Linked DNA regions of Tamandua tetradactyla. The protein of the gene in region 1 interacts with the protein of each later gene in a biochemical or structural test. Links are inferred from orthologs where the notes say so. Each region holds a gene or a part of one and is shown in the gene's direction. Other genes may lie near its edges.

Region 1 (10,294 bases):
CCGGACGCCATCAAAGTACACCTCTGCCGTGTTTGAGGCCTTGATGCCCATCTTCTTTTCAGGGGGCCCGCTGTGACAAGTCAGGGCCAGAAAGCAGGGGTGTGTCCCATAAATTGCCACCAGGGAAAAAACTGCCCCCCTCATTCCTTCTGAACCTAGGAGGACCCGCAGTTCCCACGCTGTAAGAGGGTATAAACGATAGTTCTGCACATGCCCAAAGGGCTGCAGAGCTTGGCTGCATTCTGCCATCATGTGTTTGGCCCCCTGGTTGCCAGGAGCCAAGGCTTTTGGTCAACTACATACGTATTTGTCCCACAGGGAAGCTGCTTTGGTTTCTGCACACATCCCCAGGGTGACACAACAGTCATCAGCCCTGGAGTGCAGCAGGACCCTCCCTCCACGCCCTACCTCTTCCCAAATCCACTCACTGGGTAATGCCCCCAAAGCTCCTCTCCACCACAAAAGCTGTGATCTTCTCTTTTGTGGTCCCTGTGGATGCATCTGTAATTGGTGTTTTGGCAAAAACGGTGAAGATTTCGGCTAGACCCCCGTTGCTGTGGAAGGATGAGGAGGGCAGTCAGGGTGAGGCTAATTGAGAGCTATGGGGTCTGAAATCAGGGAGGGGTGGAGAGGAGAGAAATGGGAGGAAGATTGCCTGATCCAAATCTTGCTTCCATTGAGGGTATAGTATTTTCCACAGGGGCTTGGCACAGCTGAGGTTCGGATGGAGGCAGCATCTGATCCACTTGAGGGCTCAGTGAGGCAGAAAGCAGCGATAGTCTCCCCTAGTTGGGGAGAGAGATTTACTGAGGGTCATCATGGGTAGTGAAGTCCCCTCAGTGTCCCCCAGCCCCTCCTACTGGTCTCCCTTAATGCCTTGGGCAATATTCAGTTTCCTTTCGTTACCCCAGACTCTCCTGCAACTTAGGTCCCCAGCTTTGCCAGTAATCTCAGCACCCGCCGGCCTAACTGGTGCCAAACCCAGGACACCCCCAAGCCCCCGGGTCTCCCAGGACTGCCTCACCAGATGCCAGTTTGGGGAGGTATTTTTCTTTCTGGGCCTTTGTGCCAAAGAGCAGGATGCCTTTGAAACCGATGCTCTGATGGGCCCCCAGAGTGATGCCCACGCCGAGGTCATGCATTCCCACAATCTCCACTAGGCGCGCGTACTGTGGGGGTGGGTGGGAGGGTAGGCAGGTGTGGGGCTGGGGTGGGGCCCAACCTGGGCCATCCCCACAGAGCCAATGCAGAGAGCAAGGTCAACTGTGAGAAGGGCACAACAGAGGGCACTGTGTCCACCCCAGTCTTGGTGGGAGGGGGACTTCCTGCTCTCCTTTTGCCAAGTGGTCCCACCTGACAGATTCACTTAAACTCGGAAACCAGGGTAGGGTCTGTGGCTGCAGGCAAGGGCACCTGTAGTCAGTGTGTTAAGTTTGAGGATGTGTGTGCACGGTGGGGAGAGTCAGCATCCCACAGGCTCCCGGGGCAGTAGTCTGGTCAGGAATGAACCCTAGAGGTGAAGAAGGGGCTGACTGCCAAGCTGGAGTGGTTTGGAAAGTGACTCGGGGGCTCTCCTCACCTGGGTATTGCAGAGGCCCACACCGCCCAACTCACTGGGCACTTGCAGACCAAAGGCCCCCAGCTCCTTAAGGCCCTGCAAAGTAGTCTCCTCCACCTGCTCCAGAGCGTCATTCTTGGCTGGATCATTCACCTCCTGGGAAAGAAGTCTCCGGATCCCACATCCAGACTCCTTTTAAATTCCTTAGCCCTGCCCCCCAACACCCTAGGGTCTAAGCCCTCCATCCCTCAGCTTCAGTCATTCCTTACTTGGAAGAAGCGGGACACTGGCCCCACAAGCTCCTTGAGAAACTGTGTCTGCTCCTCAGTGAGCACTGTGTAAGGGCAGGAAGAGGAAATGCAGGTAAGACAGGGCTGTCAGGGGAATGCCCTACCCCTCCCCACCTCTGAATAGCCATTCCCTTACCAGATGGGTATGGGAACACTTGGTCCGTGGTGAGATGGCCCTTAAACATCCCCACAGCAAAGGACTTAGATTCCTGTTCAGGGAAAAGAGAGTTTCAGGAAATTGTGTGGGACGGCTCTTTCCCAACTCAGTTCCCACGGGCCTTGGAACACATACCGTGTGGAGTTGTTTCTCTTTGGTGGGTACCTCAGGAAGGGAATCTGACTTATCCAGAACCGCCTGGGAAAAGGAATGGTTAGCGAGGTCGGGGAAGGGGCTTCCGGTGTGTCAAGGAGGGCAGATCCGGTCACCTTTCCCCTAGTTCCATCTCCTGCCCTTTCCCCTACTTCCGGTGCCAGCCTGCAGAACAGGTGTCTGGGGCATAAAGGGTGAGCCCTACTGACCGTGGGGCCCCGAGGCGAATCCCGACTCCCACACCTCTCTCCCACGTCCGTCGTCTCTCACCTGGGTGGCTCCACTGGCGTAGGGTCGGAGGGCAGGGCCCGGTTTGGGCTGCCCCAGGAGCGCGCTGCACCGCGAGCTGAGGGAAATGGGAGTTCAGGCCCGCCCCTGGGCCCCCCCGCTCCCCGTCCCCTGCTGTCATACACATACCTGCCGCCTCCTAACAGGAGTAGCTGCCGCCCCACGCTTGGGGCTATCCTTGCCCCCTGCATCTCCGCGCTGCTGAGGCCCCGGCTGCCTGGAGCTGACCTAACGCTTTCGCCCCGCCTCCCGCAGCCGGGTCCCTTCCACTTGACGCATCCTCCACAATGCACCGGGAGGCGGGCGGGCGGGGCTTCCCGGCGCCGGGCATGCCGGGAGTCGTAGTCCCGGAGCGCCCCCAGGCCCTGCATCCTGGTTGACCTGGAGTGATCTCCAAGCGTCATTTGTCCCTTCAAACTCCCTTATCCAGCCTGTCCAAATGAGAGGCTAGCCCTCCTCGGGAGGGATGATGAGATAGGATGGGACGGAAGAGGGAGGAGCTGAGGCGACTGCAGCCAGAGGGATTGAAGGTAGACTGAAGGGAGGACTTCCCACGTAGCATTAGAAGGGAGAAATTGAAAGACAGAAGTGTAAGGTGAACTCTAGAGGCAGACACATGGAAAGATGACTTTTCAGCCCCGAAAGAAATCCATCAATTTCAACCACAACCAAAGGGAAGGGAATGGTTGGGTGGGGTCTCAAACTATCCTCTTGAGACGTAGGAAGTGACACTCGAAGCACCGAAAATTTCACAATAGATGGCACTCCAGCACCCTGTGTTCACTGCCTCCCCCTATGGCCTCTAAGGCCTTCCTGGTCATCCATCTCTTTTTGCCCTCTGCTCCTTCCAGGATCATTGGGTCCAGGCTAGACCTCTGGGCAGATGGATTTTTCTGCCTGAAAAGAGCTATAGGAATACTCATCCCCTCTCTCTCCCATACTTCCCTGTGTGCTGACCCAGCCCTGGGTCAAAAAGTCTCAGGTAATTTATATTCCACTTCTGCAGTTCCATTGGGGAAAGGGCCCAGGAGGATAGAGCTGAGCTCAACTTCCTTACCTTTGTGCTGCAGGAACCTCTGTGTAGGGAAATTCTCTCTCCAAGCCCCACAGGAGAGCAGCTAAATTTGGGAAAAGAGGCCAGGGAATGTGGAGAAAGGGGGTGGCCGTGGGATCTGGGAAGGATGGAGCAGCAGGGCAAGTCAGTCAGAGATGTCTCCTTTCCCCAACAGTTAAAACTGGGTGGAGAGAAGGCAGCTCAATTTAATCCTGGGGGATTAGGGAGATTAAAATGAGAGAAGGGAGAGATGTCTGAGAGACCAAGAGGTGAAAGACGGAGCTCCTTTGGAGGGGTGGCCTGGGAGCAGAGGTGGGGGAACATGGTGCTGAGAGTCCCAGATTCTTGTCCTGAATCTTTCTGCAGGGTCTGGGGTAAAAAGGCAAAGGGTAGTGTTCCTGTAAGTGTCTCCGGCTTACCTCTTCCTGGCCCGATTCTTCCCTCACCTCCATTTCTCTAGCCCCCAGATCAGCTCTGTGGCTCCTGGCCCCCCCACTATTGCGGTGGGCACCCCCACTCCTTGCGGTGCTGCACAGTGACCTCTTCCAGGCCTTGCTGGGTGAGTAACCCCAATTTTCTAGGGGTTAGTTGTGGAAAAGGCTGGTTGGGACCCTGGAGCCTGCTGGAGGGGCTCTGGCCTTCTAGACAGCGGTGGTGACAGGAGAGGCAGAGGCCAGGTGGGGGATGTAACTCAGCTCTGTTCCTGTGACAGACATCCTGGACTATTATGAGGCCTCCATCTCAGAGAGTCAGGTAAGGGGGCAGCAGCAGGGGGCAGTGGCCTGTCTTGCAGAGGGAGCTGGCAGGATTAGAGGGGTCAGGAAAGGATTAATATTTAACTGAAGATGGGGTGGGGGTGGGGGTCCCAATAAGGGAACCCTGAGTCAGGGGCTTAGGGGCTTGGGGACTCCTGAGAATGTGCTCTTGCCTGTCCTTCTCCCTTTCCTCTGCCTGCCCCAATTTCAGACAGGAGAGTCCAGGACATAATTACTTTTCAGGCTTCCTTCTGGGAACCCCAAGTTAGAAGCAGTTCCCCAGGGATTCCCTCCTGCCAGCCCCTCCCTCACACCCTACCCCCCACCGTGGCCTCCCTCCATGATTTATTCCATCATGGGTGCTCCCAGCCCCAACCATGGGTGCTTCCTCCCCTAAGAAATGAAATCCGCCTTCATTGTCTTTGCTGCCGCGCTGGTGGCCCCAAGTCTCCATGTTTGCCTCAGGGCCTCTCCGCTTCTGCTTCCATCTCCCTTCCCATTATCCGGGTTCCTGCCGGCATTGAAGGAGTTAACTCTACCAAGGCACCCCCCCACAATCTCGCTCCTCGCTCCCTCCCTCCCTCCCCCTGCTTCCTCTCTCCTCCTCTCTCCCCTTCCCTCCTCGGCTCCACGGCTCCCTCAGCCGCTGCCGCCTCCAACCCCCCCACCCCACTCCCCCGCCACGGCCCTTAGCCCCTGGCCTTTAGGCAAGACCCCCCCACCCCCAGGGCTCCCCCAAATCCAGTTCCCCTCCCCCATCCCATCTCATGCCCCAGCTCCCGAACCCCGGGGCTGCCAGCCCCCGGTGCCCCTGCCCCTCCTGAAAATCGGGGTGTGCTCCCCAAGCCCCCTCCCCTTCATTGGGGTCCCCCTTTTAGGGCCCCCTTTCCCTCCCTCCCACGCTCCCCTCCTCTTCCCTTTTCCAACCCTCTCCTTCCCCTCTCACCCCTCCCCCCATCCTGGCCCCCCCTGCAAAAGTGGGGTGCGGAGGGGGGAGGGGTGAGAACCTGAGGAGGGGAGGAACGAAACTCCGATGAAGTCAGAGCCCCTTACCCGCCGCCGCGGCCAGGCCCCCCAACATGGACTGTCTCTGTATAGTGACAACCAAGGTAAGCGTGATGGAGGGGGGCCATCAACGCGGGTGGGGTGGGTATGAGTTCGTGGGGGGGCAGGCAGGCCTAATCTGGGACTGGGGGCTCTGGAGTGCGAGCATCAGAAATAAATGTATTTAGGGGTCATCATTTAGTTTTGGGGTGCACATCTCAGAAAAGGCTGGGTTTGGCCACAGGTGCCCCCTGGAGTGATCCCTTTGAACCTGTAGAGGAATTGAAATTTGGGGGTGTTCTATGGTTTGGGGGCTCTTGTGGGTTTGGGGGTTCACCAGCTATGTTTGAGGGAGACTTATTGAAGGAGAAGCCTGGCTCACATGGTAGTCCTGCTTGTTATGTTGGAAGGTGGGCTAAGTGGAGGTGGTTGTCTTCTTCCCTCCTGGGGTCCAAACTGGTTTCCAGGTTCCTTGTCCAATTTGAGGGGTTCTTGTGTGTGGGGGTAGAAGGTTATTGATTGTGAGTGCCTGACTGGTTTGGGGGTGTCAGCTGGCAGGGAAGGGGTGGGCCTTCAGGCTATAGAACAAGCATCTTGTGGTAAATATATTTTTTGGGGGGTACATCCTCAATTTGAGGGAACTGCTAATCTGGGGGTTCAATCATATGGTATGGGAATAGTTGAGAGTTGTCAGAGGGCTGGTGCCCAACACCTGAGGGTGGACTAGGTGAGGCTAGGATTTGGGGTACCCCCATGGGAGGTGGCAGGTTGCAGCAGCTGAGGTTGCCAGCTCCTGAGGAGGCGAGAGATTTCGAGAGAAGGGATTTGAGGAGGGAGACCAGGTAGACAGTGTGAAATTTGGGGGTGGCCCAGGCAGGTACCCAATCTCCCCATCTCCTCCCACACTGCATCCACCCCTGAAAGGGGAGAAGAGCAGATGGAGGAGGAGGCTTCTGCTACTCCTGAAGCTTGGGACCCAGGTGGGGTGGGGGGAGGACACCTGGATGTAAGGGTCCCTAAGATTTATGACCTAGGTTTCCGGGGTGAAAAGGAGGAGGAGGAAGGCAGGGCTGGCAGCAGCCAGAATCTGTTGTCCCTGTGATTGGAGCCTGGGACAGGCAGGAAATCTTGGATGGGAACTCAAGCCAGCTTCTGGTGGGATGCAGAATACCTGGGTCTTTGCTGGGAGACTCTGGGACTGGAGAGCTGGATGCCTGGAGTGTGGAGGGAAGCTTGGGCGGATGGCAGGCAGCTGGGGGCTGGGGGGTGGGACAGGAAGTGGGGGCCGGGGGGGGCGGGGTCCGGGTGAGTCACAGGCTGGGGAGGGGGTTATATTTAGTGGGAACTGCAGCTTCTCAGGGGAGGAAGCTGAGGACACACATGTTCCCTGCCACAAACTCACACATGTGTGTACACATGCGTTGTGCACGTGTGAGCATGGATGGAACAGATTGAGGGGGTTGAGGCCCTTTGGTCCTGGAACCCCTAACCCCTCCCAGGGTTACTTCCTTGTCCTTTATTCTGTGGCCTACCTGCCTGGGCCACCCCCAAATATCAGGCTGCTTCCCTCCTCCTCTGGGTAGTTTTAGTGGATCGTTGTTCCTCAGTTGCTCTGGCCCAGCCTCCTTTGATGTCTGTCTGATCCTCTGCTCCTCCTGTTTCCTGCCCTTGGCCTTAGGCTCTCTGGCTCTGGTTCCCTGTGTACAGGAAACCCATTGGAATCTGTGGGCTCTGCTTCCAACACTTAAACTCACAAACGAGTGAGGGTGAGGGGCTTGCCTGCTCTGGCAGCTATCCTCAGGGGGGCTTATTCATCCCCCTACAGATTCCTACTTCCCTGATGGAGCGCGAGGTTGGGTATCCCCAGGAGAAGGCTTATGCAGAGAGGGTCCTGCATTTGGGGTCTTACAGAGACGTGAAGACCCGGTCTTGCCACATTCCTTGGCCGGAAAACTTGTCTGCCTCGCCATAGCGAGGACTCCAACTCCCATAAGGCACTGAGACAGAAGCTCCCTCAATATTAGAAGATTGCTGCTCGCGGAGCTTTTGGGAGTTGTGGTTCAGCCTCTATCCAGGGCAGCAGAGGGTAGCCCAGAGGGAGCCAGCAGGGGGCACACAGCTCCTGCCCCCCCCTTAAAATGCTGGGTGGGGTAAGGAGCGCTCAGGCTGCTTGCGGTCGTTGAGCTCCCAGCATTGTCTGAGAGACCTCCATCTTTCCTTGCCTATATTTAGGCTCCTGCCGCAGTAATTTAGGGAACCTATATTGGATGCCTACTATGTGCCAGGCCCATGTTTTGTGCAAACTCTGCCTGTACAGCTTTCACTGGGTCTAACTCCTTGCCTCTATTTCTACCGGCATTTCGATCTCGGCATCTCTTTCTCCCACTCCGCCCCCGTCCCTGCCCCCTTCTCCCCGCGCTGCTGCCGCCGTTGCCATGGTAACCGGCGACGACTGAAGTTGCGTGGCTGGCTTGAGGGCTGGACGAGGCTGGCGGAGGGTGGGGCAGAACAAATGGGGGAGGGGGAAAAGTGGGGAAAAGACCAGGGGTATTTGGCCAGAGCCCCGGATGCGAAGAGGTTAAACCCTCGGGGTGGTCCTTATTGGGCAAAGCGAAGAAGCCGGGGGCGGGGCAGTTTGGCAAACGGCCTCATTCATTGGCCGACAGAGGCGTGGCGGAGGGACCGTGTGGGCGAGGCCCCAGAGCGGATGGGCGGGAAGTGGACGGAGGCGTGGTCTCCTGTAGGCAAGTGGGAGGGGTCCGGCGTACGCTGTCGAGGGAGGCGGGGAAACAGTCCTTGGAAAGGGGCGGTGCCTGGGGGCTGGGTTACCTGACCGAAATGGGGCGGGAATGACCAGGGGAGGGGCGTGGAGTGGATCCCATGTGTCACCCAGGGAGACAGGGTGTGAAGGCCTGTGTCTAAGTCACTGTGGGGGCGTAGGGGTCTTTGGAAAGGAGAATCCGGGATCTGGGAGATCTGACGTCTCAATTTTCCTAAGATGGAGGCCTGTTCAGATTTCATCAGAGCACCCCTCCCACCTCAGCTCTGTGTTCCAGGGAGACGGTTGCTAAGCGACAACGAAGTCCTCGATTGCTGAGTTGCCAGGCAACGGGGAAACGGAAAATGGAGGGAAAAAGGAAATGAGGAGTGGGGGAGGGTCCTAATGGGCCATAGCGCCCGCTGGTGGAGAACCAGGGCATTTTTCTCTTCTGGAAGAATTTCGAGTCCGGCCCCTTCGGTTCTGGGTTCTGACTGCCCTGGAGAAGCCAATCCCGATATGAAACTAGGGCATTGGGGGTCATCTTGGGGGCACATCGAACAGATGCTAATCATCGCATGGATGAGATTCTGGGGAAGTCGTCCTCTCTGCTATGTGTGGGCATTTTAGACAGCCAATTTGAGGAGACCACTCCCAGGGTTTTAAGAGCTGGAAATGTGGCGTTCAATGGGAGAATATTTGGAAGAGAGGCTTTCAAGTTCAGTTGTTTAGGAGAACATGGAAGCCCCTGAAGAGACCCGAGTTGGGGTGTTGTGGAAGATTTGAAGGTCGCTGTGATTTGTAGTCCAGGTCTTACTTGGGTATTTTTTGAGGCTGGATTGGGGAAGATATGTTTGGGAGCATCTGCAAATCAGGAATTCAAAGTCATGGAAGCAGTGATGAGAATGAGGGAAGGCAGGCAGGAAAGGGAGTGATCTGAACTTGGAAGGTAAAGAGAAGGAACAAAGAAATATCCTTTAATTTAAGGGTTTGGGAATAAATTGAAGAGATTGCAATTTAATTTGCAGGGTCAGCTTTAAAGTAGATTAAGGATTCCCTGAAATGAGAGTGTGATGGTGTTGGGGACTGGTATATAAGAAAATCATTAAATTCAGAAATTTGGACTGTCCTCAGACAAATTTGAGGACTCCTTTGGATGTCAACATTAGAGCAAGGGAAATACTTGTTCTAATTTCAAGGTCTCTGTTAGTGAATTGGGGGATAGATGTTATTTAGAAAGGGATGATTTAAGGGATCTATAAATTTGAGGACATAAGGCTCTGGGCCCCTTAACATCTTGAAGCATTGTTCTGTCCGGTGGGGCTGGATTGCAGGGAGACAGATGTTTTTGAATTTGAGGCCATGCTGGCCCCTTTAACAATCTTTGGGAAGTTTGGGGGGAGGGGCTGGTGGGAGAAGCAGTTTAGATTCCTTGGGGGTTCTTAGGAAGTGAGAGAAAAGTCCTGCTTCCTTCACTGTCTTCTGGGAGTCCAGCAGTGAGGAGAGGGCCAGTGAGGTTTTTGAATGGTTCTTAAGGGCCTGGTGATTTGGGGGATGGAAGATTACATGGAATAAGGGGTCCTTAAGAAAGAGAGCAATGAATTGGTAAATTTTATGAAAGTCTCCATTGGTAGAGGGATTGGAATAGGCGTATACTGTGGGATGCGAAGTCCACTGAGAAACAGCTGGAACAGGGAAGTTGGTGGCTAGGAGGGTCTCCCCTCACCCCTCTCTTTCTCTCTCTCATCGTGACGCTCTCCCGCACTGCGCAGGCGCCGCTCCCCCCCCCCTCCGGCCGCAGCCTCCTCTCGCCGCGGCCGCCGCAGCCCCCGCCCCTCTGCCCCTCCCCCTCCCCTACCCCGGGACCCTTGATATCCCACCCACCCCCCCTCCCCATAGTCCCCTTCCCCTTCTCCATGTCGGCTCGGAACAGATTCGCCTCCATGTGTCTCTGCGTGGTACGTGCCGCGGTATGGGCTCCGGCCCCCCTCCCCTCTTCCCGGACCCCCCCCAAATCTCGAGGGGTCTTGTAAGCTTCAAGTGCTGTCGCTCTTCCCTCTGCTTGGCGCGGGGTCTCTGGGTTGCAACTTCTCGCGAACAGGCACAGGGGGTTGCCCCTCTTATCATTATCCACTTTCCCTCACAGCCATCTGTGTTGGGGGTGCAAGCCTGGGTTGCAGGTCATCCTGTGCAACTGGGACAACCATGATAAGGGGACCAAGGGGAAAGGAAGAGCA
Region 2 (10,294 bases), on another chromosome or scaffold:
AAATTCTCATGGCTTAAGCCAATCCATTGCACAGTGTTTGATTGAGCATCCAAGGAAACTAAAACAGTAATCAATGCTAATGGTGTCTAAGCTAATCCGTTTCTTTTGTGGAACTTTCACATTCTACTCAGATCATAATTTGCATGTATGTGTCTTATCCCAACAACTAGTTTTTCAGCTCCTTGCTAGTAGGCTCTGTTTGTAATTCATCTTTTTATCTACCCCTTCAAACTTCATACAATGTACTCCCTGTTGTTAGGCCCTGTGCTAAACACTTCATGTCATCAACTCAACTTTCAGAACAACTCCGCCATGTGGCGACATTATCATTATTGTCATTTCACAGTGAGCAAGAAGGCTCAGAGAATATAAGTCATTTGCACACATACACAGAGCTGGGAATCAGAGCCAGGCTGGCCCTAGGCTCAGGTCCACAGAACCTCCTAGCAGAGTATTCTGGAGTTTCTACTGGGTTCTCTCTGCTGGGGATTCTTTACCAGGGGCACCTGCTTCTCTCCCAGACCTGGTTCATGTCCCTCATTGCCTCTGGCAAGTCTTTTCTGCTACCTTTCCTTCTGGAAGAGCTGCCAGGTCATCAGTGTGGGGTGGAAGTCCACCTTCTGCTCCACAGGCAACTGGTGAACCCTAGTGGGGGCTGAAGCTAATCGAGGAAGGGACTCCTTTTTGTAATTCTAATTCTTAGAAGGCATTGCCTTATTGCAGCTTATATACATTCATCTGTAATACACACAGAGGCATCTGGGGTGTTAGCTGGGTGCTAGAACTGACCGTTTCTTTCTCCAGAGCCTTGCCTGCAGAGAGGCCTTTTGCCTCTCTCTCTCTCTTAAGTAATGAACCTCTTGAAGGTAGGACTCATGCCCAGTTGTCCTTGGATCCAGCAAGAGGACTGGTACAACTCTACTTAATGCCTATTGATAGAAGCATAGAAGGCTAATGGATAGAAGGAAGAATGAAGGAAAGGAGGAACATAGATACATTTCGTAAGGTTGACAAGATTCATTCATTCCTCTGTGCAATCAGCATAAGTTTATTGAGAAACCCACAGTATGAGCCATCTCAGAGTAGACAATGGGAAAACAAAGACACCTAAGGCATTCTGCTTCTGGCTTAAAAGGAGAAACTCATTTATTCTTTCCTACCTTTTAGTACAGAGCGGAATTACTTCAAGCTGATTCCTTTACATACCCCATGAGATTTCCTGGGGTCTCATCTTCCCAGGCTCCTAATTATTTAACATGTTCAGAACAGAGAGAGTCTTTTTATATACACGAGGGCCTTGAATTTATAAATACAAACGTGCTTGGAGTGTGGGAAATTCCACTTTAAGAACGACTTCTCGGCTCTGTGTTTCCCATCTGTTTGCTATCCTGCAGCGCTTTGCCTACCTACCTCCTTTTACCCAACCAGAACAGAACCCAGACCTGTCTCCCCAGCACAGCTCCCTTCTTTCCCCAGCCTCACCTCCTCCTTACCAGAAGGTAGTGCTAATTGTCCCCTGGGCTTCCCTCAATGTGAACCTAAAGGCTTGTCTGTGGAAAGCAAAGTGAATTGTCTGGTCTGGACAGCTCCTCCTGGCTTTGGTGCTTGGGATCTCCCTAATGACTTGAATGAAATAATGCGATTTCCTGGGCATTGTGGAATTCTGAAGTCTCCTGCTATTAAAGCTACTGCAAAGAATTCTTGAGAAACTAAATGCAAAAAGCAATTCGTGTACTTGTCTTCTTGGGCCATTAGCTTGTGTCATTTCTCTTGTGCATGCCCATTCTAAGAGGCTCCCGCTGCCTCCATGTTCGGGGCTGTTAAGATGGAGGGAAGTGTGATGCTCTAAGGAAACAGTGATGCCAGATGAATGTGAACATCATGCAGATGCTAAGCCCTGCGATGGGGAAACCCATCGTTCCTGTTCATAAAGAAACGTTTTCTAATAGGGGTAAGATGAATTTGGAGTGTCAAGGGCATTTGTGGTTTGTATTCCTAACATTTGCTAATGGTTGGAAATTGCATAGTTACTTAGCATCTTTGAAATTTAGAGGAAACTTAGCTTCTTATCATTTAGATGTCATCAAATGTATCTTGCAATGGTTGCATGAGGTATGGGTTTAGAAGTGCCAGCATGGGCCTGGCAGATGGGAGGTGCCCAGCAGCTGACTGTCATGATATTCGAAAGTGTTGGACACGAGCTCCTCATAGAGCCCCTCACAGAGCTGAGAAGCTCGTTGGAGGAGCCCATCCCTCAGGTCACGAAGGCTTTGGTATTATAGATGTCAGAGTCCAAGCAGGAACACAGAACCCATTCTGAATGTTTAAAGCAGGAAGTGTTTGCACGGATGCTGAAAGAGCTGAGAGACCAACAGGAGAAAGTGGGATGCCCAGAGACTAGCAGAACACAAGCCATGATGAGACCCAGGCTGGAGGGACAGCTGACAGAGCTGGGGCACCAGAGGAGACACAACTGTCTCTCAGAAATGTTCCCTGAAAAGCTGATGAGAAAAAAATACCTGAACTTCTTTCCTCCTTCCCTCATCATCCCACCTCTTGTCAGTTCTTTCTGACCAAATCTAGCCAGAAGCTGGGCCCATAGGGAAATCTAAGCTATGCAGCCTTTAGGGGTGAAACCCCACATGGCCCCAAAGAAAGCAGAATCGAAGTAAAGCAAGGAACATATCTCAGGACCAGCAGGCTCAGGCCTTGGGCCAGCCTGGTGGTCTTTAGAACTTCAGGGATTGAGGAATCAGAGGAAGCAGTCTGGTTCAGGGTCTTCAACTTGTGTTATATTGTTTCCAACCAATCTCCCCTCCACCTGTCCTGTCCCCCACCTCCCCCACATCTCTCTTTCTACATGTTCCTGAGGTTTGGTGCTCAAGCTGAGTCATTCTTTGTGTCTACAGATTGGAAAGGAGGAGGGGCAGCAGCCCTGCTGGGGCCATCACTTCCCTCTGTTGTTGCTACTACTGTTTAAATACCTGAGTGCATGCACAGGGAGGTTGGAGAGGGGATGGATTCTGCTTACCCATGGCTTCTGGGACAAAAAGCCTGGTGGGCTCTCCTGGGGATCCCAGGATGCTATGGCTCTGAGCCTGCCCTTGGGGTATGGCCTTAAAGGAGGTTGCTCTCTGGGACCACATCCTTTAGAGCTTAAAATTCTGGTCTCAAACTCAGACTTACACCAGTAAAATAGAACACTCTTTAGGATTAATTTTTGTAGCTCATTTGCCATTTTTCTCACGAGTCTCTCCTTCACCAGCTGTGTTAAACTTCATTTATATAAACTCCTTTCATACATTCTATTATTGAAACTAACCTAGAGCCATCCATAGCAATATATCATTCTAAATTTGGGAAAAGCATCGTGCATCAAGAGATTAAAAAAAATAATAATAACATCAAAGTAGTTTACTCCCCCAACTACGGTGCATCTCCTGATGGAATATAGTTCAATCATTAAATATTTATGCCGATATGGGAAAATGTTTGTGTTACAGTGTAAATGGGAAAAGCACAGGATGGAAACTTATGTCAGAAAAAGGAAGTAACAAATGAGCCAACAATGGCATAGAAAAATGTCAAGAAGAGAAAACACTAAAATGTTGTCTTTGGGGATGGCACTATGATTCTTATACAAAGAGACTAAGTTTACCCCTTGATCTTAGGGACTGGTCTTATCTTTAAATCATCTTCCCTTCTCTTTCCCCAGAGTCTTTTGACACTTAACATACAGGAAGCTCATGGAAGTGTCCCCAAGGCATCAAATTGCTTCCAAGGCCACACAACCAGCCATGGCTGAGGCTGGACCTGATTCTCTTGAGTCTCTATTCAGTTTTCTTCCCTGGCCACCTGCCACCTTGAGTAGGTGACACCGAGTCAGGAGTGAAGACGCCCCTCACCTGCCCAGACTGAAGGGCAGCCTTGAGGTCACAATGGACAGGACTCATGACAGCACCATTGAGGCACTGGAAGAAATCAGAAGGGAGCAATGAGGAATTACAGATCTGAAAGTAACCTGGTCCATCAGATTCCCTTCTGTATGCTGCATTTCTCTGGAACTCTAATTCTGTGGACTTTTTCCCGTGTGATACTTCCAAGTCAAATTAGATAAATTGTTGATTCATTTCTGTGCTCCCTCAGGATTATCTTCTTTTTAACATCGTTGACTCTTTGCCTATCTCCTCAAAAGCCATAACATTTTCCTTCCATCCTGGCAAATCTGATGAGATTTCATTGCTTTATATAATGTCTCAGTTGTACAAAGAAAATGCTTCTAATGGCTACATTTCAGTGAAGTTATTTCCTATGGACTGTTCTGGAAATAAAAGAAAGTCTTAAAGCGATTTTTCCTTTCCCCAATGTTCACAGATTTAGAAGTAGAAAAATAAAGAGATTTTTTCCTCAGCATCCTTTTAACACTCTTGAAACTAATGTCATGTTCTTCTGGACAACCTGATGTGCGAGAGTTAGTTATGGGGATGTGGAGTTGAATATTTTTTTCATTTTGTTTATTTTAATGAAACGGACATTAGTCTTTGGGAATTGGAGAGGAATGAAAGCCTCCTGCGACTTATTGTGAAATGAAATTTCTTTCAAGCTCTTTTGTCCAAAGATGAGATTGGTAAGGTCATATGCATACAGTATGGATTTTCAATTGGGTTAATCAACTATTAGAACCTCAGAGCAGCAGCCTTGCCCCCAGCCTCATCTCCACAGCTCCATGAAGAAGCAGCACTGGAGAACTATTCCCCTCACTTCCTGCTCTGTAATGTGAAGATGGGATCACAGCACCGCCTTTGCTGTGGTCATTGTCAGGAAGCTATGGGGCATGCATGGAATGGTTCCAAGAGCTGTCTTCTTCATCCTCACAGCAGCAGTGGACCAGAGCTTGCAAGGTAGATCTACTTTTTATTTACCCCAAATTTCAAAGTTGTTGGCACTTGTGGGAGCTACAGGTATGGCTCTTGGCAACAGGCCAGGGTGAGGAATGGGACAAGTTGCGAGCATCAGAGATTTCCAGGGTTGGAGGAGACCTCAGATGAGGGTGTTGGCAGAGTCACTGGGTCTGTAACCTTTGGGCCCATAGAGGACAAAAAGTTAGGCGAAGGGGCAGGATGGTCAGGTGTTATGGGTTGTTGGCGAGATTTTCCAGACACTACCCTGGTTCTAGGCCTAATGAGACATTAACTAGCTGTGTCCCCTTGACTATGCATCATGAAGGAACTGGAACTAGATAATTTTTAAGGATTATTCCAGTCTCAGGAAACAAATTTCAAACAAACAAAGCAAAATAAATAAATACATACATGCATACATAAACTTCCTGTTTTATTTTTGAGGAAGCATTTGCTTATTTCTTTCCTACACAAATAAACTTACTGTTTACTATTCAGTGTTCCTCCCAGGCCCTAAAATAGTGACTTTTATTTTCAGAAATAAGCAAATAGTTCAGTTTGGCTGGGGCATAGGAAGAAAGCAAAATGGCAACTAATATGAAATGTGACCAGGCCATACATGCAGACCATCTCTCAGATTTGGGCATGAGGAGCCACATGCGTGGCCCATTTTTTAGAGAAACACTTTGCTGGGCTTCCTGCAGTCCTGACCCACTGCCAGAGGTTTGGGAGTCTGGGGCTAAGAGGGGTGTCCCCTTCCCCCCAACGTCCCTTCCTATACTGTGCTCTGGATACCTGAGTCTTCCCACATCAAGCGTTCTCAAGGGCTGTGTGGCCTCTCCCTTAGGTGTCAGAGCCTAGGATTTGGATAGCTCCGAATTCTAGGGGTAGCCAAAGGTTCTATTTACAGGGGTGGCGTTCTGCATGTAAGGGTTGAAATGTCCATGTGCCTAAGTATGAGGTAGTTCATAGTGCCTAAAGGAGCCAGGGGTTGGAAGAAAATAGGCGCAGTCTGCGGGCTTTGCCAGGGGCTGAAGTCAGCGTTTCGGATGTGGTATGGTCCAGCCAGAACTCTAAGAAGTCTGAGAATTCTAGCCAAATATATTGCATGGAGTCCAATAATTTGCAGAGAAATATATCATATTATGTGAAGCAGTGATAGTGATGAGCACTATATAGCAAAGTAAAGCAAAGTAGGGGGGTAGAGTGCATGTGTGCATGTGCATGCGTGCGTGCGTGCGTGTGTGTGTGTCTGTCTGTGTAAGCTCTTTTAGGAAGGGAGGTCAGGGAAGTTCCCTCTGAGGTGGCAACATTTAAGCGGAGACCTGAATGAAGTGAGGAAATAAATGCAAAAGGGCATCTCAGCAGAGGGGCCCAGTGTAGCAGAAAGAAGCTTGCCTGGCTAGCAGGAGTGATAGATGAGTTGTATACATAGGAGGAGACCAACTGAGTCTTTGTAGACCATGATAAGGCTTCTTATTCTGAGAATGATGGGAAGTCACTGTAGGGATTTGAGCAGAGGAGCCACATAATCTGATTTTTTTCATTAAAACTTGACAGTAGAGCAGCCAGGGTGGAAACAGAAAGACAGTTGGGATGTTACTGCAGTATTCTGTTCCAAAAATGAAAAGAGTTTGAATGGAGATTGGTTCTACCATTTGCAGGTAGAACAAAAGAGATTTGTTTGATGGCATGTGGCTAGTGGGAGAAAGAGTAGTTAGGGATTGTATTAGCTAGGGTTCTCTAGAGAAACAGAATCAGCAGGAGATATCTATAAGATTTATAAAAGTGTCTCACACAACTGCAGGGAATGTAAAAAAAGATCTGTAGGGTGGGCTGTGAGCTGGCAGCTCCAATGAAGTTCCTCAGCGAACTCTCAGGAGAGGCTGGCTGGCTGAAGCAGAAAGAATGATTGCCTCTTCTGCATTCTCCTTAAAAGCCTTCCAGTGATTAGATTAAGTATCACTCATTGCAGGAGACATTCCCACAGCATCTGCAATCGGCTGTGGATGCAGCCAACATGCTTTTGATTTAAGTCCATGAAATGTCATCACAGCAACAGACAGGCCAGCGCTTGCCCAACCAGATGACTGGGCACCACCAACTGGCCAAGTTGACACACGAACCTGACCATGACAGTCCACCCATTGTCAGCTTGGCAGCCACACACATCACCTTAAACTATACTTAGTCTCTAAATAGAAAACAGTAACAGACACAATTTTTCCTCGCCTAACAATGTTCACCTGTCCTGTGTGTAGAAGGGCATTAAATGCATTAAAGGGGTAGAAGATGGGGTTTTGGAAAGAGAGGCAGAGAGAAGCAATATGAAGGGCAGAAGAAGGATGATGCAAGTCAGGGAAATAAGGAAGAGAAAGTTTCAAGAAAGTGGTCACGGTTAACCGTGCAGTGAAGAAATGAAAGAAGATGACCACTGTGGTAGTTTGAAGCTATATGTATCCCAGAAACATATGTTCTTACACTGAATCCATTTCTGTGGGTGTGAACCTATTGTAAGTAGGACCTTTTGATGAGGTTCCTTCAGTTAAGGTGTGACCCACCTCTATCAGGATGGGTCTTAATCCTGTTACTGGAGTCCTTTATAAGAGAATGAAATTCAGACAGAAAGAAAGCCACAAGAAGCAAGAAGCTACATAATGGAACTCTGAAGAGAAAGGAGAGAGGAGGAGATGCCACTATGTACCTAGCCATGCGATAAAGGAGCCAAATATCAGGGGCCATCAGCCCCAGAATGCCATAGTCTTCAGGGAGAAAGCATCTCCGTGATGATGCCTTTCTTTTACCAAAGATGATGAACTTTCTTTTAGCATCAAAGCTGTAAATTAATAAATTCCTATTGTTTATGTGTACACATTTCATGGTACCCAGAAAAGAGCTTTCAAATGAGCAGTGAAGTCGTCATTGATGGCTTTTGACAGTATTTTCCACTGTGTGCTAGTTCAAAAGTTGAAAAGCAAGTGGATGGTAGAAGTGTTCTGAGAACTCAAAAGTTCTATCCATATAAGGTGGCATTGATGTTATTTTGTTATGGAAATAGAAACCACTTATGAGAATTAGATGCCACTTTTAAAACCCCATTCTAGCACATCCAGAACCCATCGATCTTTTGTGTAAGGCACCTATAAAAACAATAGTCAGAGCGGTGGGGGATAATCCAGGTTTTGGAGATAGTCTCAGACTTCCTCAAGAAGGAAACCAGCACTACATCCTGCCAAGAACAGATGCTGTGCTGACCAAAGTTCCTTATTTTCATGCTATTGGCTGACACTGCTGATAAAATATAGTTTGTTGTTTCCCTTTTCTTTTAAATAAGCAAGCTGGATTACTTGGAGGAGAGGAGGCAGGAGAGATAGAGGAGACAGAAACAAGGCAGCTAAAAGAAGAAACCCTCAGGTGAGCATGTTTATCTTTGTCTTGGTAATTTATTGTTGAGTAATGTGCCTTGCTTGTCATAGTTAGAAGAGCAATTTTTGAAGACTAAAGTTCACTTTGTTCTACTGTAAATTTATTTTTTCTTAGCATGTACATGGTAATTTAAAAATATTGGGAAGTACAAAAAAGTAAAAAAGAATAATAAACAGAGAAAACTTCAATTGATATTGTTGGATATTTCTTTCCATTTTTTTTGTGTTTGTGTGTATAATATCAGTTTGACTTTTATACTTGGGTTCAGACAATATGTACATATGTGTATGTTTTTGTCCATTACAGCATAAGTATCTTCCATATTGCTATGAAGTTTTCATAAACGTAATTTAAAATTGCTGCTTAATCGTGCATTGAGATTTACTACACTTTGCCCAACCACTTAGCTGTTTTTCATCACATAGACTCTTCCTTATTTTTCATAAACTGTATATAAGATATACATATTTTTTTTCCATTTGGGATCTTGTTTTATGGGGAGAGGATGTTCAGTTCAAGAATGTAGATATCAGTGGTTTTTCTCAGAGGCACCACGAAAATGAAAGAGTGTGTGAGAGCCGGTGCTTAAAATATGCTTATTACCCCTTTGGGACCTCAACTCTGCCTACACATTCAGCCAGAATTACTTTATTCTAAAGAGGTTAAAAAATTACCCCCAGAATAATTAAAATTAAATTTTGGGGGATGAGTCCGGCATTTAGTTTAGCTTTGTGTTTTCCAGAAACTAATGGACAGCCAGCGCATAACAGGTGACCCAAATCATTTGAAATATTTCCTGTTTCTGACACATACCTGAAAGGAGGTAAAATTTCAGGCAACTCATCCAAACCTCTCTTTCAATCCCTACTTATGTAAATGCCAAGAGAAATTTCTGGGAAATGTTAAACTCTAGAAATTTCTCTCATCCATCTCAACCACAAAAGCTCTTGAGGTGAGAATCTGCTTGGGAGTTTTAATTTACTAGTGCTTTCAGGAGATGTTGTTGTTTCCAAGGCTTTGGTGGCTAGATGTTAGAGAGGTTGACTTTCCAGAATGTTCTAAATATATCAAAACTAAGCCCATCTTCTGCAAGGATCACACAAGGAGCATTTGAAGATCCCTGTGATCAATTTAAAGAGCTATAGGATTGTAGTTAGAGGCAGGAGGTGGCTTTCCCTGGCTTTCCAGGAGCATCAGCGACATGGCATTCACTTTCTCTCTACCCTATGTCACTATAAGGAAAGCAGAGTTTATACAAAAGCTGGGTTCTTGGTTCTCCGATGAGGAACTGAGAACAGACCAGAGGCACTTAAAACAAGAAAGACTAATGGTTGAAACATTTCAATCAAAAATTGTTTTCATCTTTCTCACCCTTCTGTAGGCTGCGGCTGTACTGCATTCCAGCCTACAGCATGGATGTACTTCTTTTGGTTCAAACTAATTTGATCAAGAGCATGTTAATCAAATTTCTTCTTGTTCCAACTCAGTGGAGGAGAACACCTGCTTAGCACTTTCCTTGATGAACTTAAACATTTTATGTAGTACTTTACTGTTTACAAAACACATTGACTATAGCGGTTCATTTGATCCATATAATAGCCTTGAGAGCTGGAGGATTTAATTCTTGTTTTAAAAGTGGGAAAGGTGAGGCCCTGAAATGTTAGGCTTTTTCCCAAGGTGGAACCAGAACGGGTCCAGGGCACTTGACCTCTTCGCTGAATAATGAAATGAATTTTAACCATGGTTATTACAAGAAATAGATTAAACAAATTTTGTCAAGCCTATGCCATCTTTAGCCATTTAAATAATGATATTGATGTTTGTTAATTGGCATCGGAAGATGATCATAGCGCAGTGATAGAAGAAAGCAGGGTTAAAAACAGCATTACATGCACCCATTTTTGTTAAAAATATTTATGTATATTTGCAGAAAAATTGAAGCATATACACAACAATTTAGCTGTATC
Region 3 (10,294 bases), on another chromosome or scaffold:
AAATTTGTGAATAATGTGGGAGATTCTTCCTCCTAGGTATTCCTAATAAGGATCTTGCAACATCAGAAAATTTTGCTGATGAAATTTTTATATCTAATCAACTCTGGCTTAAATTTTTTAAAACTTTTTAATTGTATATTATAACATATATACAAAGCAAAGAAAGAAAAAAAAGCAATAATCTTCAGAGCACTCTTCCAAAAGCAGCTACAAGACAGATCCTAGAGTCTGTCATAGGCTACCATACCATCCTCTCAGAATTTTCCTACTAGCTGTTCCAGAATATAGGAGGCTAGAAGGAATAAATATTTTTTTATCATCGCAATCAACCTTTTTTCTTTGTTTGTGATAAATAACATATATAGCAAAAAAGCAATAAATTTCAAAGCGCAGCACCACAATTAGTTTTAGAATAGATTTCAGAGTTTGCCATGGGTTACAATTCCACAATTTTAGGTTTTCACTTCTAGCTGCCCTAAGATACTGAAGACTAAAAGAAACATCAGTCCAGTGATTCAGCAATCGTATTCATTTGTCAAACCCTACCTTCTCTGTATAACTCCACCATCACCCTTGATCTTTCTATCCCACTCTTTAGGGGTATTTGGGCTATGCCCATTCTAACTTTTTCATGTTGGAAGGGGCTGTCAAGAACATGGGGTAGGAATATGGAACTAGCTGATGTTCTGGTGAGGCTGGCCTCTCTAGGTTTCAAGGCTTAACTGGTCCATGGACCCATCTGGAGGTTGTAGTTTTCTGAAAAGTCCCTTACATTCTGTATTATACACCTCCAATTTTACCTTTACCATGGTCATAAAAGTGGAGTCATACAGTATCTATCCTTTTGTGTCTGGTTTATTTCACTCAGCATTGTGTCCTCAAGGCTCATCCAATTCTGGCTTACATTTCACCTGGGAAGTTAAGATGAGACTTAATACAGCCCCCCATTCCCCACCTTCACTTTTTTCCACTTGTTAGATGTCATTTGATGTAGTGGTTCCTTCTCTTAGGTTGGTAGATCTCAAGGCACCTGATCTGGGGAGTCAATACCTACATCCATTAGAAGCCCATCAAATCTACAAGCATTGCTGTTATATCTAATCATAGCATAAACTTTATCTCTCACTGTTGCCAATGCATATTAGTAAGATTCCCTGCCCAGCTTCACACTCCACAAGTCGATACCTTCTTTCTGTATTTGTAACCCATTGATGCTTGTCAACCTAGACTTCTGACCCACTGTCCAATTCCGATCAGTCATGCTTGCTCTTACTCTAGCCTATACCGAATTTAGATGTTTCCGTGCCAGGCTGTTACCTTTGATACACACAGGAGCCTTCATTAGACTCTCCCTGGTCTCTGATTCTTCATTCAGTGTGATTCCTGTCTCCATTCGACTTGTTCAAACTTCATCTGTTACTGAACGCATCCTCTATGCCCTTGTTTTGCTTTGAACTTCAGGTTCTATTTCCTCACCACCATACTCTGGCCTGGAACGGGAAAAAAAAATCCCCTGAAGAAACGATGAGAAAACATTGGAAGAAAAGAAACCAAATGAAAGAATCATCAACCCCCTTAAGCATGCCAACAATGAGAAGGAAATGAAGTTCTCTGGGAGGTAGAGGCATCTAGTGGTTGGTTCCTCAGTGTATTGCCTTTTCTTTCCTTATCCAATAATCCCAATTTATAATTCAGTGTCACTAGGATAGGTAATCTGCCTTGTTCTCTATTGTTCCCCAGTCTTGGTCCAGTGTTTGAACCATGATAGATGCTCAATAAACATTTGTTGAATGAATGAATGAATGAATGACACTATCATATCAGTAGGAGCAGTAGTAAAAGGCAGGTTAAGCAAAAGTATTTAGTTTGGATCTTGACTGATAAAGCAACTAATTCAAATTGGCTAACTACTTTGAAACGTTCCATAAAACAGAGTAATGTGTTCCACTAACACCTAAACAATTGCCATATCTTTAATGATTAAAAGCAAATAGTGAAATAGTGCTTATTAGCCCCCAATATATACATATATCTCTCTATATATTATGTATAATTATTCTCACACTACTGTATACTATTCCAGATAATTTAAATTTTAAAAAGGTTTTATTATTCTCCACATTTAAATGCTGACCAGCAACAATAATTACTTGCATAACAAATTTCAGAAATTTTCATTTACTTATCAATGGATAATTCACTCTAAAAATTACAAGAATATTGTTTTCTATTTGAACATTAACAGCAAGATACAGAACTATATTTAAACAGTTTTGACTTAAACAAGGACATCACTCTCCTAAAACTGCCATACTTTGGATTACAAAATGAAACATGAACTTATATAAATATTTTGAAGTATTAGATTTTATTCCTAAAAATTAAGTATAACTTCCATATACAATTACAGTTGCTTCAGATTTTGAAAAGTGATTTGAAAAATCATGAGGTGAGGCATTTAGCATTTAGATGCTATTTCTGTATCACATAACCTATTAATAAATGAACAGAAAAGTATTTTTCATTTAGCATTGAGTACTACAATTTGAGGAGAATAAGCTAATAACTTTCTATCCTTACAGTGAATTAGGTAATTCAGGGTATTTCTCTCTTCTGAAACCAACAGAAGCAGGAGGCAAAAGATGGCAGCAGTGAGTCGTTCCAAAATCTAACGTTACACATTTTACTTTTTTTCAATATTATTTAATTGTGAATTTAATATTATCTTAAGTTACAAATTATTTTAGGAAAATAGGACTCATAAATGTTCCAGTGAGGCCTGGCACACAGCAAATTAAATCGCAGTAGCCCACGGCATCATTGCCACCTCAAATATCCACCTTCCCCTACCCCCAAAAGAGTCTGAAGGCACTAACTATGGGTCCTTCCCACAGCTCATGTTTAGTAAATAGGATTTGCCATTGCTCATATCAAAAAGGAATAAAAAAACTTTTAGGACATTATTTTCTTAACCTACATAGGCATTAAAGACATTTTCTGAGGATAGTAATATCTTTACATCTACTTTTAATTTTAACCCCAAAATCAAATGACCTTCCCTCAAAGAGCAACTCTTCTCCAACTTTTTGAGTTAAAAGATGCAAAACTGTCCAAAGTCAAAGTGGAAATGAAGAGCATCTTTTAAAATATAATGTGTCCTAATGCACACAGTGCTGCTAATTGGTCTTGTACCAAGTTCTCAACATAATTGAACAGCCTTTCTGAGACCTAAAAGGAAATATACAGTTCAACATGTGCTGACAAATGGCACTGCAGTGTCATAGGACGAATAAGGAAGAAGGGTGATTTTAATATCCAACTGGCTTTAAGACCTGCAGCCAAGCTGGAGAACTACTTTTGGAGGTGAGGTCAAGTTTGTATGGGCACTTACAGCCCACCCCCCCAACCCCAGCCTTCCCCAGGAGATTAAAAGTGAACATTTGCACAGCTGTCAAGAGTTCATGCTTAATCTACTGCTTTGTGCATTTAATTAGACCTATTTAGCCCACCTAAAACTTTACTCTTTAAATTATATTTTAACTTACTCCAAACCACAATAGAAAATAGTCCAGAATTATTGTGCTTTTTAAAATTGCTGAATAATCTCTCTGACACAAAATAGAAGCACATTGTTACTGAAAATCATAGGCCCCCAAATCCCTTATATTAGAATTTCCTGTTAATCTGTCTTAGAAACAGGCTCTGGGAAGGAGCAGGATGGGGGGTGGGGGAGAAGATCACAGCCTCAGACCATTTGGGATCTACAGCCAGAGAAGATGAGCTGGCGGCTTGATTAGGAGCATTTGCCCTGGCCCCTGGACAAGCCGAGCTCAGCCTGCCAACGTCTTGTAAATGCAGCAGGGGTGAGCTGTGTCATGACTCTTGAAACAGAGGAACACGCGGTGAAGGCTCAGAGGGCTTGGTTGACGCATGCCAAGGGTCTTGTTTTCCAACAAGACTCTCAATAGGGTGATTCTACTTGTCTGGTTTTCACAGTAAAGGCACACGGAAAAGTCCTCATGGGGTAAATGGGCTGGAAAACCATCAGTTGACATGGAAAAACAATCTGAAAATGAAGAACGCAATGCTGGATCATTATGGGGACCAACAGGTATTTCCATTTTAACCTGGGAAATGGGTCAAAAGAGGAGGAAGAGGAAGTCACCAAGTCCTGAAGAAGACCAAGAAAAAGAAGGAAATGGAGCTCAGGAGAATGAGGGGAACTTATTACAATCTATTCAAGTTCCAGATGGGACAAGGGTCACTGCTCAGGAATTAGATATATATTCCAGATTCAGTCAGAATGGTTTTGCTTAAGAAAGTCTCCCCCTCCGAAAAACATATGCTTAACTTTTAAAAAACATTTAAAATATATATTTAGTGTCTTAAAAATATCTTAAAATTATGGAGACCCTGGGAACACTGGGCAGGCACCCTGGACAGCCTTCTCAGAGAGATGTGTAGCCTTCTTTGCTCTAGAACCACAGTATTTGAAAGAACCTCCACTTCCAGCCTCCAGAGTGCAAGTCCAGACTGCTTCCCCACCCGAAGCTATTCTAGAACCCTTTCCACCCCTGCCCTTTTGTTTGCAGGCTGACACCGGCCCCGCCGGCATAAACTGACAGCGGCTTGCAAGCGAACGAAGGAACCGGCCCTTTGAAGGGTTCCATCCCTTCCCCGGATCGCTTCCAGCTTTCGCGTGCCTCCCCAGCATCCACTCAGGTCTGGTCCAGGGTGTGCGTTCCCCAGGATGCAGGGCCCTCTCCCAACCCTGGGCCTCCTCCCTTCTCTCCTGCAGCTGCTGCTGCTGTTGCGAAAACCAGAAGTGGAATGCGCACGCCGAAGCGCCGCGCTCTCGCGGCGACACTGGGCATGCTCGGCACCCAGGGCAGGTTTCTGCGGCGGGGCGGACGCTGCCTCAGTAGCCGGGCGCACGAGGCGGCCGCCGAGGCATAGGTGGAGGCTGAGGAGGAGCCTCGCCCTCGGCGGCAGCGGCGGCGGCGGCAGCCGCGCAGGTGGCGGGGGCCGCGGGGCGCACTGGGCGAGCGCACAGCGCCGGGCGCCCGCGGCGGCCCCAGGCTCGCGCCCGCGGCGGCAGCTGGCCGAGCCGAGCGCCGGGCGCGGCGGCGACAGCGGCAGCGGCGGCTGCTCTCCAGCCCGGCCGGCGGCGCCCGGAGCCCGCGAAGCCCGCGGAGCCCTCGGAGCGCGCGGGAGCCGGGCAGGGGGCGCTGCGCTCGGCGCGCTCGGAGGGGCCGGGGCCGGGCGCCGCGCCCTCGCGTCGGGTGCCGCCTCTCGCCCGCGGCGCTCGCCCCTGCTGCCCGCCGGCTGCGCCTGTCCCGCGGCTACGCTCAGACAACAAAAGCGGAGGATGCTGCAGTTGGGCAAGGTCAGGACCTTGCCCTGAAGCCGGGCGGCGGCGCGCTCGCCTTTCCCCGGACTGAGGAGCTGTCCCTGGCGGCGGGTGCATGTTCGCCAGGAAGCAGTCGGGCGCCGCGCCGTTGGGTGAGTTGCCTTTGCTGGGCTGGCGGGGCCAGGCGTATCCTCCTCCTGGGCGTCGTCGTCTTGGTCGTCGTCGTTCTCCCCGCCGCCCGGGGGGGGGGGGGGGGTTGGTTCGCGGCTCCGGGCCGGCTGGCGGCGGCGACGGCTGCTGCGCGGTCCTGCCTGCCAGGGGAGAGGACCGCGATCGCGCCCGGTCCGCTCTCGGAAGGCGGCTGTGGTCGGGAACGGGGTCCAGGGTTAGTGCCTTTCTCGGAGCGGTTACCAAGTGGCTTCTCTGCGTGCTCTCCCTCCCTGCCCACCTAGCTCCCCCGGAGGAGGCGTATATAGGGCAACACCAACAAGGCTCCAGAACCTACCCGTTGCATTCATGACGTCCCTAATCTACGGGAGAAGACGGGGTGGGGGTGGGGAGGACTTCCCTCCAGGCTTTCGCCCTTATGCTCAATGTCATTACGATGTTTGGCTAGAACAAAATGGAAATACTTAGTCATATGCGTCTGGGGCCGTTCCTTCAGCTTCCCGCTGCTTGCCAGACCGTGAGCCCCTTTGGTCTATATTTAGCGGTTTCCGAGGAAGCATTTTCAGCTGGATTCACAGGTTTCGGGGGCATCTGCGTCCTGACAATAGATAGCCAGGCTCTGGAAAGCGCCGCCTGAATCCAGGTTTGGAAAGCCGTGCATGTGTACAGGAGGTAGGCGATGCGATGTTTGGGTGATCGGTAATTAATGGCTGAAAGCAGAGCTGCTTCGCTTTTCTCCCGACCTTCCTCTTATTCGGGCGTGTAATGTGTTTGCACGGTTTGCTGCTCGGCGGGTTCCAGCCCTCCGTTCTGAATTGTCACTACTGAGGTGGTGTAGCCTTCCAGGTCTGTGTGGTGGGCAAACAGGGTTTCGGGTGTTTGCATGGGTTACCGCAAAGAAGAGTTACTTCCAAGATGCCTGAAGTTGCGTTTCATTGTAAATATGGGTATATAGGAGGATGCAGAGAGAAAGAGGGACAGTTTCAGGTTTTAAGGTGTTTTTTTTTCCCTCCCTTCTTCGTGTGCATCAGTTGAAGTGATCTGGTTTGCTTTGGCTCTGGATATTATGAAAATGCGTGGCTAATGCTCGCATGCAAGTATGTTGGTTGGGATAAAGGATGTCAGTGGCAGGCCTGCCGCACATAGATTTTCACTTTTAGTGACTATGGGACTAATAATTAAGGGGCTTGACATTTTCCGCAGTGACTTCCATGAAAGTAGGGAGATGTTGGAAACTATCTGGGAGTTATCCTGTTGTGCATCTTCCCATCGGCAACCCAACCCAGTCCATTTCTTTGCTGTTAGTGATTCACCTGCATGTTTAAAAGGCTTCAGAGCCGCGCCACTTCTGAAAATCCCATGGCGGAGTGTTTGACATGACTCATATCAAATTACAGGGATGAACCTGTGCATAATTTTGGGTGTTTGTTCTATGGGAAGTATTACAAATAGAGGCGGCATCCTCCTCCTCTGTGCTTTAATCTGCTGTAAAATATCTTTGTGTGTGTGTGGCTAACAGATCTTTCCACCTCCAAGTCCATTGTTAATGTTGTTGACAAAAACGTTAAGTGGCATCATTACTAGTCTGTGAATTATCAGGTTTTCAGGTCTTGCAAGATTACATTCAGAGTTATGTGTTGAAATTTGGGAGGCATAATTATATTGAGAACAAGTCAGCATTGCAGAATGACAGGCAAGGTCTATGAGGCTTGCATTTTTTGGAGCAGTTAACTATCCAGTGTGATTAGTTTGACTAGTATTACTTTAGGTTCACCTTATCAGAGAACTTTCCAAGAGCACTTTGAGTACACTGTTGTGCTTGATGCATTGTTCTTTCACAAAACATCTTTTTACAAAGAGGCCTTGGAGGAAGTAGACGTGCATTTCTCACTTTCCTTTTTGATTTTTTTTTTTTGGGGGGGGGTCTGGTGTTTCAGTTTGAACTGATGCTTGAGAAACTGGTCCCTAGTACTGTGTGCCCAAGTGTGCATCAAGAGAGTAGCTCTGGGCATAAGGGAAAAAACTGCATGATTTGTCTGTGTGGGTTTTATATTATACTGTGGATTACAAAAGATAGTATCTGATTAAATGGCAGTTGTAGGGAGTACTTGGGGTGGTTACTCCAAAAAATTTGTTATTATCTTGCAGAAAGGAGTTATTTAATTTGGTGTATGTTTGTGTAATTATAGAACCTACTCATTTTAGATGTCACTAATATTTTCACTGTAATAAAAGTCATGTATTGTCAAATGGCAGTATTTCCACCAACTTCACATCTTTCATAAGAGAATACAAGCTGTTTTTCCTCCCCATGAAAAAATTCATCATAAGAATAAAATGATAGTTAATGGGTATTAGTTGAACAATGTAGTTTATAGCTTGTTAGATGATTTCTAAGCATAACATCACTTTCACAATGGCCTCTACAATTAAAAAAAACGACAGTAAAGTATTCTCAAACATAACATTAATTTTGGCAACTAAGTGAAGATGCTGTGCCTTTTCTGAAAATTTTATAGAACATATTATTTTCTGGTGTGCCTTACCAAAGTCCTCTTTCTTATGGCTTGTGTTTATGTGGAACTGAAGAATTTTTGCAGAGTGATTTCATCAGGTGGTTCTTTTGCACAAATACAGTAAAGTTTTGTTTAAAATAATATGATTTCATTTGGTAGTCCATAACATTAGGTACACTTTATATGGATTAATAAAGCTAGTTGTAACAAGGCAGGTAAACTAAATAAAGCACAGTTACAACACCTCGAACTTCTAAAAGTATATTTTTCCCTTTATGTTTACTGACAGACCTGGAAACATCCGTCTTTGGTTGTTTCCCCATGTGAACATTATTTTCACTTTCGTAGTAGAGAATTGATGATTCTGTTTCAGTCTTCCTGGTGTAATCTGTTTCAAATGATTCCATATGGTTAGGAAGGCTGACACTTGAATACCGTATTTGAGACAATGAGTACATATCATGAGTAGACTCCTGGGAAGGCAACTGTGGCTCAGTGGCAGAGTTCTTACTTACCATACCAGAGACCTGGGTTCATTTCCCAGTGTCTGCCGCTGTTAAATAAATTAATAATAATAATAATAAAGGGTAGACTGCCAGTTATTTTTAAATACAGTTCTGCAGACTGAGGTGTGGTACGGTGGGTCTTTGCTGGCTGAGTTACAGGTCAGAAATGAATTCTTCATTTGACTCCCACCATAGATTTTAGAATCCATATTCCAAAGGTATTCTGAGGGCCATGGCACTTTGATGCCTGTGTGATCACTGTTATATGGTTGCATGTGGAAAGTTAATTTGAGTGGGAACAGTTCATGACACCTGTTGCTAGCTTCAAGTCTATCTGATTATATGCCAAAGTAACAGGTTTTTATATTAACATAAAATATTAAACATGTCATAGATAAATAGTTCCTATCATATTGACTGCCAATTCAGGCTACTGATGAATAAACTGCCAGTTTGGGTGTAATGACTCCAATTATATTCATAAACAGTACTTCTAACACCGGAAACTCACTGCGATATTTTATCATCCTGTGCTTTTGCTCCGTTAATAATATCCGCACTCCAAAATGTGTAGTTATGACACCCACCACTTGATCACATACCACTTCAGTGTAATTTCAAGCTCCGTATTGTGGTTAATTGATGTGTAGGAAATGTCTAGGCTATATTAGGATTCTGAAATTATGCTCTGTATCAATTAGTTTTTGACAAATTGGAAATAATGACCAAATAGGTGAAACAATGCTTCTTAAAAGCTTTCCATCTTAGACAAATATTCACCTGTGTTTCTCAGTGAAAAAGAGTCCTGAAAAGTGATCTGTAAAGTGAATTACATATATAGAAACTCATTATTCATCAATTGCCCATTCATCTTCAGAAATATATTTCTACAGAAAAGTTGGGCTCTGCCCTATATGAGTGACCTTAGAATGGAATGTTCTTTAGATTCTCCTTCTGGTGGGTGCAAAGATGTGGAAAGAGCACTGGCTTTGGATGGATCCCAGCTGTGTCACCTCTTGCCTGTGTGATCCTCAGCGTGTTTTAACAGTTTCTTTATCTGTTTAATAGGTATTATAAGGCAGAATGTCTCAACAGACTGTTTCAAGGATCAGTGGTTGTTTATACAGATGCAAGAGATACATATATACCGATTAGATGGATACTTATGATTCGTATTTATATTATTAAATTGATTATATAGGCTACTTTCCTCCTTAACAAAGACTATTAAATAGATACACTGTCTTTGGCCCTGCTGTAATGTTATTTTGTTCTACAGATTTGTATATAATATAGGCCAAATTTTCTACTCTGAAACATACTAATCGTTTTCTTAAAATGTAAAATAGTGAAGCTAAAAGAGAAGCAATTTTTTTCTCCTAACACAATATTTAAAAAAAGATTCTAATCTAATTGTCGGAAATTGTGAAAGTTTGATATTCTGTATTCGTTATATTATTCACTTGACTATAATGAAATTTTCTACATAGACTAAGATTGTACAAAGAATATAGTCAGGTTAATGAACATCCCTTTCTGAGAAGTCAAATATTAAACAAAGTTCAAAGTCATGGAGCATGAATCCTTTCATAGTGTCATGACAAAGCAGAAAAAGAAACCTTAAACAGTGAATTTTTTTTATGTAAGGAGACGACCCATCTATCCCTCTCAATCAAAATCTAGTCCTGGGTGGGAAAAGAGGCTAAAAAAAAAGTGTGTCCATTGGTACCTTTTGTGAAAGTAAATGGTCATTT

What was found.
Region 2: the proteins of DLG4 (region 1) and CYSLTR2 interact in a biophysical measurement, tested with the Homo sapiens proteins (2 studies listed by IntAct, with this or other methods). The link is inferred for Tamandua tetradactyla from reciprocal best matches to the Homo sapiens genes DLG4 and CYSLTR2.
Region 3: the proteins of DLG4 (region 1) and CTNND2 interact in a test that uses a peptide from one of them, tested with the Homo sapiens proteins (2 studies listed by IntAct, with this or other methods). The link is inferred for Tamandua tetradactyla from reciprocal best matches to the Homo sapiens genes DLG4 and CTNND2.

What each region holds. Positions count from the first base shown.
Region 1 is NC_135332.1:61,082,948-61,093,241, reverse strand, and holds the start of DLG4 (disks large homolog 4), read left to right. Parts: upstream 1-4,999; 5' UTR 5,000-5,334; coding exon 5,335-5,364; intron 5,365-10,001; exon of another isoform or gene 10,002-10,294. Other genes in the region: ACADVL (very long-chain specific acyl-CoA dehydrogenase, mitochondrial), read right to left, coding at 1-70, 429-554, 656-785, 1,025-1,169, 1,580-1,750, 1,828-1,892, 1,985-2,057, 2,141-2,203 and 2 more. UniProt on the Homo sapiens protein: Postsynaptic scaffolding protein that plays a critical role in synaptogenesis and synaptic plasticity by providing a platform for the postsynaptic clustering of crucial synaptic proteins.
Region 2 is NC_135330.1:109,566,604-109,576,897, reverse strand, and holds the start of CYSLTR2 (cysteinyl leukotriene receptor 2), read left to right. Parts: upstream 1-3,964; 5' UTR 3,965-4,901; intron 4,902-8,029; exon of another isoform or gene 8,030-8,235; 5' UTR 8,236-8,315; intron 8,316-10,294. UniProt on the Homo sapiens protein: Receptor for cysteinyl leukotrienes. The response is mediated via a G-protein that activates a phosphatidylinositol-calcium second messenger system.
Region 3 is NC_135335.1:60,554,467-60,564,760, reverse strand, and holds the start of CTNND2 (catenin delta-2), read left to right. Parts: upstream 1-5,362; 5' UTR 5,363-5,465; coding exon 5,466-5,502; intron 5,503-10,294. UniProt on the Homo sapiens protein: Has a critical role in neuronal development, particularly in the formation and/or maintenance of dendritic spines and synapses. Involved in the regulation of Wnt signaling.